Saccharomyces cerevisiae S288C: one gene and its partners. The protein of the gene in region 3 purifies or fractionates together with the protein of the main gene of each other region. This does not show direct contact. Each region holds a gene or a part of one and is shown on either strand. Other genes may lie near its edges. The genes, in order: AIM23, RSM25 and EHD3.

Evidence for each region.
Region 1: the proteins of EHD3 (region 3) and AIM23 purify together in Saccharomyces cerevisiae (affinity purification with mass spectrometry, with the first as the bait; 2 studies listed by BioGRID). This does not show direct contact.
Region 2: the proteins of EHD3 (region 3) and RSM25 purify together in Saccharomyces cerevisiae (affinity purification with mass spectrometry, with the first as the bait; 4 studies listed by BioGRID). This does not show direct contact.

What each region holds. Positions count from the first base shown.
Region 1 is NC_001142.9:163,722-166,974, forward strand, and holds AIM23 (Aim23p), read right to left. Parts: upstream 1,628-3,253; coding exon 557-1,627; downstream 1-556. Other genes in the region: YJL132W (uncharacterized protein), read left to right, coding at 1-445; URA2 (bifunctional carbamoylphosphate synthetase/aspartate transcarbamylase), read right to left, coding at 2,002-3,253.
Region 2 is NC_001141.2:187,329-190,372, reverse strand, and holds RSM25 (mitochondrial 37S ribosomal protein mS23 RSM25), read left to right. Parts: upstream 1-1,588; coding exon 1,589-2,383; downstream 2,384-3,044. Other genes in the region: YIL092W (uncharacterized protein), read right to left, coding at 1-1,307; LYS12 (homoisocitrate dehydrogenase), read left to right, coding at 2,741-3,044. UniProt on the Saccharomyces cerevisiae protein: Component of the mitochondrial ribosome (mitoribosome), a dedicated translation machinery responsible for the synthesis of mitochondrial genome-encoded proteins, including at least some of the essential transmembrane subunits of the mitochondrial respiratory chain.
Region 3 is NC_001136.10:522,550-526,405, forward strand, and holds EHD3 (mitochondrial 37S ribosomal protein mS47 EHD3), read right to left. Parts: upstream 2,165-3,856; coding exon 662-2,164; downstream 1-661. Other genes in the region: 3-deoxy-7-phosphoheptulonate synthase ARO3, read left to right, coding at 1-379; lysine--tRNA ligase KRS1, read left to right, coding at 2,891-3,856.

The DNA of each region.
Region 1 (3,253 bases), on a different chromosome or scaffold from region 3:
AGCCGTATCTCAACCAATGTTTGACACTGTGTTTATATATATTGAGAAGTCTGGGCAAATAGAGTTTTTCTTAAAACTGGTTCTAAAGATTAAGACAAAATCAGATTCAATCCCGGATGAGTTTGGTTCATCTTTGCTGTTTAATGACGAAGAAAAGAAATTGTACGTTTCCTCCCCAGGCAGTTTCGATGCAAGAGGAAGTATATGGAAAATTAGTATGGATGAGCTATTAAAGGCGGGAAACGATCCGAAGCGCAAAACCCTTTTGATTAATAATTTAAGGCATCTCATGCTCATAAATCCTGACAAAAGTAGCAAGGGTGTGTCAAATTTTGGTAATAGCATGATTTTGGGTCCCCAAAATCACCTTATAGTAGGCATTCCCCAATATGGGTATGGAAATTTTGATCACATGCAGCTAACCGGTAGAATCCTGGTACTTTAATGATAAGTTATTATGTACAAGCATCGGTTTAGTTCAATTACATTAATTTAATACTTGAAAAGCATATTTGGCAATATGCGCTATATATATTCTGATGTCATTTGCTTCTATTTACATTTCATTCATTTTTTTTCTCTGAATCCTTTTTTGCAATTTTTCTTGCCTCTCCTTCTTTCTCAATTCCTTTAACGCCCTCTTATCGTTGTTTTGTGGTTTAACGTCCTTTGGTATAAGTTTCATTATCATTTTCGAGTTCATGTTACCTAGCAGAACAGGATCATTAGCATATTCGCTAACTATCTCTTTCAATGTCTCCAAGACAGCAGCTCTTTTCTGGAAAACTGATTCTGGTAGCCTGGGTGGTTCACCTTTTTGAGAGCGGTCCAGCTCCTCAAAATTTTCAAGCCAATTGTTTGAATTTATGTTATTCTTGTCATCAAGATATAACGTTACTTTATTCCCTTTTTTCAATAGCGAAACTATTTCGTGAGCCTTCTGCCTTTTTAAATCATCGCTTTCAATCTGCCATGATATTTTAATATGCTTCAAGTTATCTTCTTTTTTATCAGTCACCAAATTCTTGTAAGACTTATTCAGTACTCCCAATTCCATCAGTTCCTTTTCCTTTTTTTTAGCCAGAAAGTCTGAATATTTTTTTAAGGCTACACGACTTTCGACTATCTTAACAAGTGGAATTTGATTTTCATTATCGATTTGCTCTACATTAACAATACTGAGTCCAACTTTATCGAGATCAATGCCCTTGGCAAAATACCGAATATTGGATGCTTCAATTCGGTGGGTAGTGGGATCCACAACTTTGATGTTTCCCTTGTGATTTTTTTTGAATATCTCACTAACAACTGAATTAGCTGCCTCTTTAGCTCGATCTGTCCCGGTGCTCCAAGTAATCAGGATTTTTTTCCTGTTAGTAGCATTCCTTGGCACTTGTTTCGGGCGCTTAATATACTCTTTAGGAAAAGCAGCATTTCTTGCCACATTTCCATGACTTTGCTCTTTAAGATTTGCCAGCTCACGTTTACGTTTCATTGCGTTGCGAAATATATCTGTGGTAGATGATGCATTGTCTCTGCTGAAGTATTTTGTGCAATGAAAATATCTAAAACTTTTTAAAAACAGCATCTTCTGTGAAAGAACATCACTCAAAGGAACTTTTAACATATCCACGGACCTGATGTTACCTCCTTACTGTGTATGCATCAGGTATGCATTTTGTGATATATAGCTGTTATAGTTTTCTGAACTTACTTTTTTAGACCCTTAAAGTTCTTACCGTCGCGGGAAAATTCAGGTAAAATTCAAGAGCTCAGGATGAAAACTAGACAAAAGGAACGAGATTACCTTCAACTCCTATGCCTTAAACATTTTTTGTTTCCTCAAGAAAATTTGTTTACAAAATCATTCCATCTTTTGTTTTAAATAAAAACTCGACTTTGGGAAATCATATTATTGAGTGTAATATACAAATAAAAATATTGGTTAAAAAAGTTTAATAATAGATTATAAATTTAAAATACGGATAGGTCTCTTATCATTCACATATCAACACCCATGACCATGGCCAACAAAGCCATTCTGACGAACAAACCATACTTCATTTGTCTGAAGTAAGCAGCACGATGATCGTAGTCCACTTCCTCTTTGATTTCATTTACACGAGGCAATGGATGCATGATAGCCATATTTTCTTTGGCGTGTGCCAAGATCTTGTTGTCCACGATATAAGTATCCTTCAGACGTGCATATTCTTCAGGGCTATTGAATCTTTCTTCTTGGACCCTTGTACAATACAGAACATCGGTCTTTGAGATGATATGAGGGGTTAATTCAATGCTCTCAACACCAAGTAAGCCAGCTTTTCTTAGCTCTTCTCTTAATCCTTCTGGTAACCTCAATTCCGGAGGAGAAACAAGATTAATTCTGACTTGATAGTGCATTAACAAACGACACAATGAATGTACGGTTCTACCATGTTTGAGATCACCCATGAAAGTAACAGTAATACCATTAACAGTACCGATTTCTTCACGAATCGTAAACAAATCCAAGAAGGCCTGCGTAGGATGCTCGCGAGAACCATTACCACCATTAATAATTGGAACAGGAGAATATTTAGCGGCGATATGAACAGACATTTCTTCTGAATGACGCATGACAATGGCATCACTGTAACAAGCCAAAGTTCTGATAGTATCTTGAAGGGTTTCACCTTTCTTGACAGAAGACACCAATGGATTAACATTTACAATTCTACCACCCAAACGTTCCATAGCAGCAATGAATGAAGAACAAGTACGAGTAGATGGTTCAAAGAAAATTGTAGTAATAACGTGGCCTTTCATTAAATCTAAGACACCTTCTCTTGCGACAGCTGCCCTTAGTTCTTGTGCAACAGCAAACAACACATGGAAATCAGAACGTTTGAATTGTTTGATAGACAATATATGTCTTCCGCGGAATGGATTGTTACTACGGATCAAATTCTGGATGGCGCCTGGAGCAACAAGTTCTCTTGGTGGCCTTGAAGACATCAATTTTTGTTCCAAAGGCTGTTCTGGAATTGCATCCTCCGCGGCATCTAAATTATCAGCGATTGCTTCTTCCGTGATCGAGAACCTTCTTTTAGCACTAGTAGATTGGAGCTCTGCGGAAGCAGTTATGGAAGCTGGACTTGGATTAACAATGCATTTTCCTTTGGCGCCTGGTGAAACTAATTCACCGCTCAAAACTAATGTTTCGCCATTATAGACAACACGCTCAATACCACCGTTCATATCTTTGTTGAAT
Region 2 (3,044 bases), on a different chromosome or scaffold from region 3:
ATCTTTGTGCCCTGAATTTCAGCGTTTTTTTGAAATATATTTGATGTTATAGGTTGTAGTGAGTTTTTCTTGACGGCGCAGCACCTCTCATTCAAAGAACGTGAGTTTCCATCCATACGTTCATCATAAGTTGTAGTTTCCTCCTTCGTGCCTAAAACTTCATCATTAATTAGGTCAATATTAATTGTGCCTGTAACCAAACTGCCGCTATTCAAAATCGATATTGGCTCCACTGCACATTGTTGAGATTTACTGTTTTTAAGATTCGTATGGAGATCGCTTAAATTGGTGTGTCCATTTTTTGATGTGTATGCATTGGCAGAAACATTCCTAGATGTAAGAATATTCTTTTCCTCATCCATGACAAGAAAGAGCCGCATTCCAGGTTCATTTTGTTTCCGACGTTTAGGATCGGGTATGTGTTGACTGTTCTTATCAAAGTAATTTTTCTTATCACTCTTTTCAATAACCTTATTCTTACTTATAGTTTTAGTATTCGATAATTTGCTAACGATAGCAGTATTCTTACTCTTTGGAGTACAAATGTCGGAATCCCTCGTATTTTTATACCGGTATTTTTTATGATTAGATGCTCTCTTCGCAAATTCACAGGCAGTTATCAATAGTGCTAAATTCAAAGTCATTGGGAATGCACAATTTTCCAGTTGCTTTTGCAACTGTGGCTCCAATTTTGTGAGGAATAGATCCAACGCAGCACCAGAAGACAGATAATATGGAGTTAGACGTCCCGATTTATGGGCAAATGCTTCTAATGACTTCTCAGAATCAATGGACAACGTCAATAGTTCCGTAAAAATTTCCCTTCTTAAAGATCTTGCTCCATCAAATTCTTCTGATAGTAGAGCAAGAAATTTTTCAAAACTGTAAGCCTTTATCACATGGTCATCGATTCCCTCCGTTGTAGAATCAAACCATGTCTTAGCCCGGCCGGATAATGCAGAGCTTATAAGAAGTTTCAAAAACGTTCCTGTACAGCATAGTCCAAATAAGATATCTGTAATATCATCGGCCCATTGGACGAATATATTGTTATCATCACCGTCTTCAGCACTGAATTTTTTCAGATGACTCACTTTATCTAGCATTTTGAACGCTTGTTCATCGTCATCAATCTGTCTTGTAACACAAAAATTATTACACGCTATGGGCAAAGTTTCGCTCCTCTTTCTACGTCCACTGTGTCCCTTCTTGCTTCGCGGCGGCAGGGTATTTCCATTAGCTATTGTATCACTATAGTTATTAGTTCCCGACTCGTATGCCATGTTTTTGGATCTCATTTGCACCATTAAGCAAAAAGAATCTGTTGAACGAGGACCCTAACCCAAGACAGCTAATATACTGCTTTTTTATGACATTTTTCATTTGGTCTTCATTCTTGCGCATCTTCTTTGAGAGTTGAAATTTCTTTGATACTTCGGCAATTACAGAAAAGTGCAAGTTACAAGCAATAAAACCAATAATATTTAGATACTGCACAAAAGTCTAAGAAAATAACCTCATTAGAAGCTTGGAAAAGGAAGAAGGACATTGCGCACCATTCAAGAAGAAGATCTTAGAATTCTGAGAAATGAAGATACAAACAAATGCTGTAAACGTCCTTCAACGGACGTCCGCTTACTTGAAATCAGGATTGTTGAAAGAAACACCTGCGTGGTACAACGTTGTAGCGTCTATCCCACCATCAACCAAGTTTACACGTGAACCTCGTTTTAAGAATCCTTCCAATGGACACATCATAGGAAAACTTGTTGACGTAACAGAACAACCGCATGCCAACAATAAGGGACTTTACAAGACAAGACCCAACTCGAGCGACAAAAGGGTGGGCGTGAAAAGGCTGTACAGGCCACCTAAACTAACATACGTTGAGGATAGGCTCAGATCGCTCTTTTACAAACAACATCCATGGGAGTTGTCGAGACCTAAGATTTTAGTGGAAAACGAAATTGGTGATGAAAACTACGATTGGAGCCATATGCTTCAGATAGGAAGACCACTCGATGGTGAAAGTGTTATCCAGCGAACTATGTACTTAATCAAAACGAAGCAGTATGGGGACATGGTCGAAGCATATGACCATGCCAGATATGAATTCTATGCGTTGAGAATGCAAGAAGAAACAGAGCAGCAAGTGGCTTTGGAAGAAGCGGAGATGTTCGGATCCCTCTTTGGAGTTTCTGCCATTGAACATGGTATACAAAAGGAACAAGAGGTCCTAGACGTCTGGGAAAAGAAGGTAGTTGAAGAAACTGAACTAATGGCAGCAAGGACAAGTAACCCTGCAGGGTCGTGGAAGGACGACACTACATTGAATACGGCGCAAGAAGAAGAATCCACCACTTCCGAGAACCTCCACTTCTAGGTGGGCTGCCTCTTTTCTCCAACGTCACCTAACCAACCTGTATATAATTAAAAACAAACGAGAACAACACATGTAGTGCTAAGTAATTGTCGTTCTCAAATTCCACCTCGATTTTTTCAACTGCACTGAAAATTCCCACTCTTTTTTTTTTTTTTTTTTTTTTTTTTCACTTTTTTCCCGTGGAAAAATATTCTTAAGATGACTCTAATTAGAGGAAAGAACAACAAGAAACTAAACTGGTTCTACAGTTATATAAGGACATCTTAACTGATTTAGAATTAGCTAAGACTGTATCTATGCGATTATTATATTAGTGCGACATATTTATATAACTAAGATAGTAACGCACTCAAAAAGATGTTTAGATCTGTTGCTACTAGATTATCTGCCTGCCGTGGGTTAGCATCTAACGCTGCTCGCAAATCACTCACTATTGGTCTTATCCCCGGTGACGGTATCGGTAAGGAAGTCATTCCTGCTGGTAAGCAAGTTTTGGAAAACCTTAACTCCAAGCACGGCCTAAGCTTCAACTTTATTGATCTCTACGCCGGTTTCCAAACATTCCAAGAAACAGGAAAGGCGTTGCCTGATGAGACTGTTAAAGTGTTGAAGGAACAATGTCAAGGTGCTCTTTTCGGTGCAGTTCAGTCTCCAACTACTA
Region 3 (3,856 bases):
GAACGGTACTAACTTTGACAAAGAAAGTGTTCAAAATACTAAGAAACAGTTAGAAAAGGCCGGTTTGACTGATGATTCCCAGAAAAGAATTATGATCGATTGTTCCCACGGCAACAGTAATAAAGATTTCAAGAACCAACCAAAGGTTGCCAAATGTATTTATGACCAGCTGACGGAGGGTGAGAATAGTCTCTGTGGTGTTATGATTGAGTCCAACATAAATGAAGGTAGACAAGATATTCCCAAAGAAGGTGGCAGAGAGGGATTGAAGTATGGTTGTTCTGTTACGGATGCTTGTATTGGCTGGGAGTCCACCGAACAGGTATTGGAGCTATTGGCAGAAGGTGTTAGAAACAGAAGAAAGGCCTTGAAAAAATAGCCTGTAAATGAGGGAAAAATGCAAATAATCTTGAATGATACTCAAAACTTTTGATTTATTGTAATTTCTTTCTGAACCATATTTATTACATTCAAACTTTTTTTTTTTTGCCTTTTATAAAAAAAAATACTTATAAGAAAAGAGAAAGAAAATGACAGTTTTCTATGTATCATTAAATAAACATCCATATACAAATATAGCGTTATGTTTTACTTTTATTATTTACATGCATAGAAGTGTTGGCAAAATTCTTTACGAGCCACGGGGCTGCTATTTCAGGTTTTATTTCCATCTTAAGCCATCGTTAACTTCTTCACATTTTCTTTCACAAACAATTTTACATAGCGATTGGATACCCAGTTTCCCTCTTCTAGAAGGAATCACATTGGCAAAGTGATTTAGTACTTCTCTTTCGGTAACTTTGGCGCCAGTGTCATCATTCGTTCTCTTTTCAATATACGCAGCGATTTCCTGTTCTGTAGGCAATTGGTATTTAGAATGGTAGGGATATTGAGTCCAAGTAACATTCGAGGTATTTCTTAGTAATGACATTGGTAGCGATGGTTTAGGAGATGTGATAGATGTCAACTGAGATACAAATAACTGTTCCTTCTTTGTCCATGGATACGGGACCCTTTGTTTATCAATAAGTTTATGCTTTGTGGCTTCAGAGAATTCCACCAAAGAGTCCTGGTTCATGCACATGTTAGCTGCTGTGTATAAGTCTCTTTTGATAGCAGATTCTATGTGATCTCTGGAATTCTCTTGCACCAATCTCAAGGCGATTTGAAGAGAGGATGGTGACTTGGTTAACAATTTCGTTTTGATTTCTTGTGCGAAAGCCTTACCTTCCGCAGAACCTTCATATTGACGTAAGTTATTCATTATGTCTTCAATAGTACCATTTTTAGACAAGTTAAAACAGGCTTCAATAACGTTTAATTTCTCGTTAGAATACTTGAAAACATAATCTTTTGGTAATGGTGATACGAATTCGTCGATGGATTCGTTAACCATCCCGAAGAAGTATGCAGATTGTGGATCGTTATTAAAAGGGGGGCTAATTTCACCTAATCTTTTCTGCAAAGCATCTAAATTTTCACTACTGACGTAATGAGACGCTAAGCCGAGCATATAAGCGTCTGCTCCTGTGACTACTTCTCCTGTAAGACATAGATACAGGGCCATTTGTGAGTTTGAGTTAGCCAATGTCACGATTCTAGGGAGAGCAAAAGTTGAGCCTACATCTGGAAAAAAACCAATGTCCATCTCGGGCATGGCCCATTTGGTGTTTTCTGTAGCAATTCTAAAGGGCGTGTGAATGGATAGACCAACGCCGCCACCCATGGTGATACCGTCCATGAAGGTAACAATTGGTTTCAAGTAAGTTGCTATTTGAAAATTCAAAGAATATTCATCAGTAAAAAATTTGATGGACTTGGCAAATTCTTTGTTAAAATTGAATATTGCCACAGTAGCTACATCACCACCAGCACAGAACGAACGTGGTCGGTTGGATGACTTTAAAATGACTAAGTTTGTAGTATCGCTCTTTGCATACTCGTTCAAAGTCTTGAACATGGATTCTGACATTTCGGCGTTCAAAGCATTGAGCTTTTTGGGCCTATTTAGCGTGATAACTCTAGCTGTATCTTGAACGGTAAATAGCACAGGTGGTGCGTCGGTGACATTTAGCTGGGGTTGAGTAGTCATGAATGTACGTGTGGTAGTTTTAAATCCGTATTTAGACGACAATTGGGCACATTTTAGCGTATTTCTGAGCATTATTTGTGGTGGCTAAACAGAACCAAGTATTATATAAATGAGGATTCCCGTACACAGGCGCAGGAAACAAGCTGCTCTTATCTTCTCGGCTACCTCATCAATCATTTGGCTCCGAGGTTTAACACTTTTCTTTGCACTTGCCTCTCCAATTCCGAAGTTCCGAAGGGTGACCCGGATTGTGTTACTAAACAAGAGAAGATTGGTAGAAAACGCAATGGGTCAGTTTGGCTGGCTGAATCCTTGGAATCCTGTAAGGCTGCTTACTACAAATGGGTTAGGGACTGTTCTCTTCGGCATAATGTTTAAGTGTTAGTTTTGAGATATTACATGTTTAAGAATTCAAAAAACCTTTCTATTAACCCAGGAAACGATGCGGATAAGGCGAGCTTCTCCGACCCATGAGCACAATAGATCAAGTTCTGTTCTAGTTGTTGGTTAGTAGTTTATGGAATGCTAATGGCATTAGTGATGTAGGAATATTTTTGGTGTAGTGTATGGGTGTTGTGAAAATATTTGCCATTTGAATTTTTTTCGGCGCTTTTCTTTTTTTTTTTCTTTTTTTTTTAGCTTGAATTATCGATGAATGATGAAATGACTCTTAATGAACTTCGAAGTTATATATACAGCCACTTTTTTGTTTAGAAAGAAAAGTATAATTATCTTACATACATTGATTTATTGCTCTGTCCTTCCTCCGAGAAATCCGTAATAAACTTCAATAGCATAATGTCTCAACAAGATAATGTCAAAGCCGCCGCTGAAGGTGTTGCTAACCTACATCTCGACGAAGCTACCGGGGAAATGGTCTCCAAGTCTGAATTGAAGAAGCGTATCAAGCAAAGACAAGTCGAAGCTAAAAAGGCCGCCAAAAAGGCTGCCGCTCAACCAAAACCGGCTTCCAAAAAAAAAACAGATTTGTTCGCTGACCTGGATCCATCGCAATATTTCGAAACAAGATCTCGCCAAATTCAAGAATTGAGAAAGACTCACGAACCAAATCCATACCCACACAAGTTTCACGTTTCTATATCCAATCCTGAGTTCTTGGCCAAATATGCGCATTTGAAAAAAGGTGAAACCTTACCTGAAGAGAAGGTTTCAATTGCTGGTAGAATTCATGCCAAAAGAGAATCTGGCTCCAAATTGAAATTCTATGTTCTTCACGGTGATGGTGTTGAAGTTCAATTGATGTCCCAATTGCAGGACTACTGCGACCCAGACTCTTACGAAAAGGATCACGACCTTTTGAAAAGGGGTGATATCGTTGGTGTCGAGGGTTACGTCGGAAGAACTCAACCAAAGAAAGGTGGTGAAGGTGAAGTTTCCGTCTTCGTTAGCAGAGTGCAATTATTGACACCATGTTTGCACATGTTACCTGCCGACCACTTTGGTTTCAAAGACCAGGAAACCAGATACAGAAAGCGTTATTTGGATTTGATCATGAACAAAGACGCCAGAAACCGTTTTATTACCCGTTCTGAAATTATCCGTTACATCAGAAGATTTTTGGACCAAAGAAAGTTTATTGAAGTAGAAACTCCAATGATGAACGTTATTGCTGGTGGTGCTACCGCTAAGCCATTTATTACCCACCATAATGACCTTGATATGGACATGTACATGAGAATTGCTCCAGAATTGTTCTTGAAACAATTGGTTGTCGGTGGTTTGGATCGTGTTTACGAAATTGGT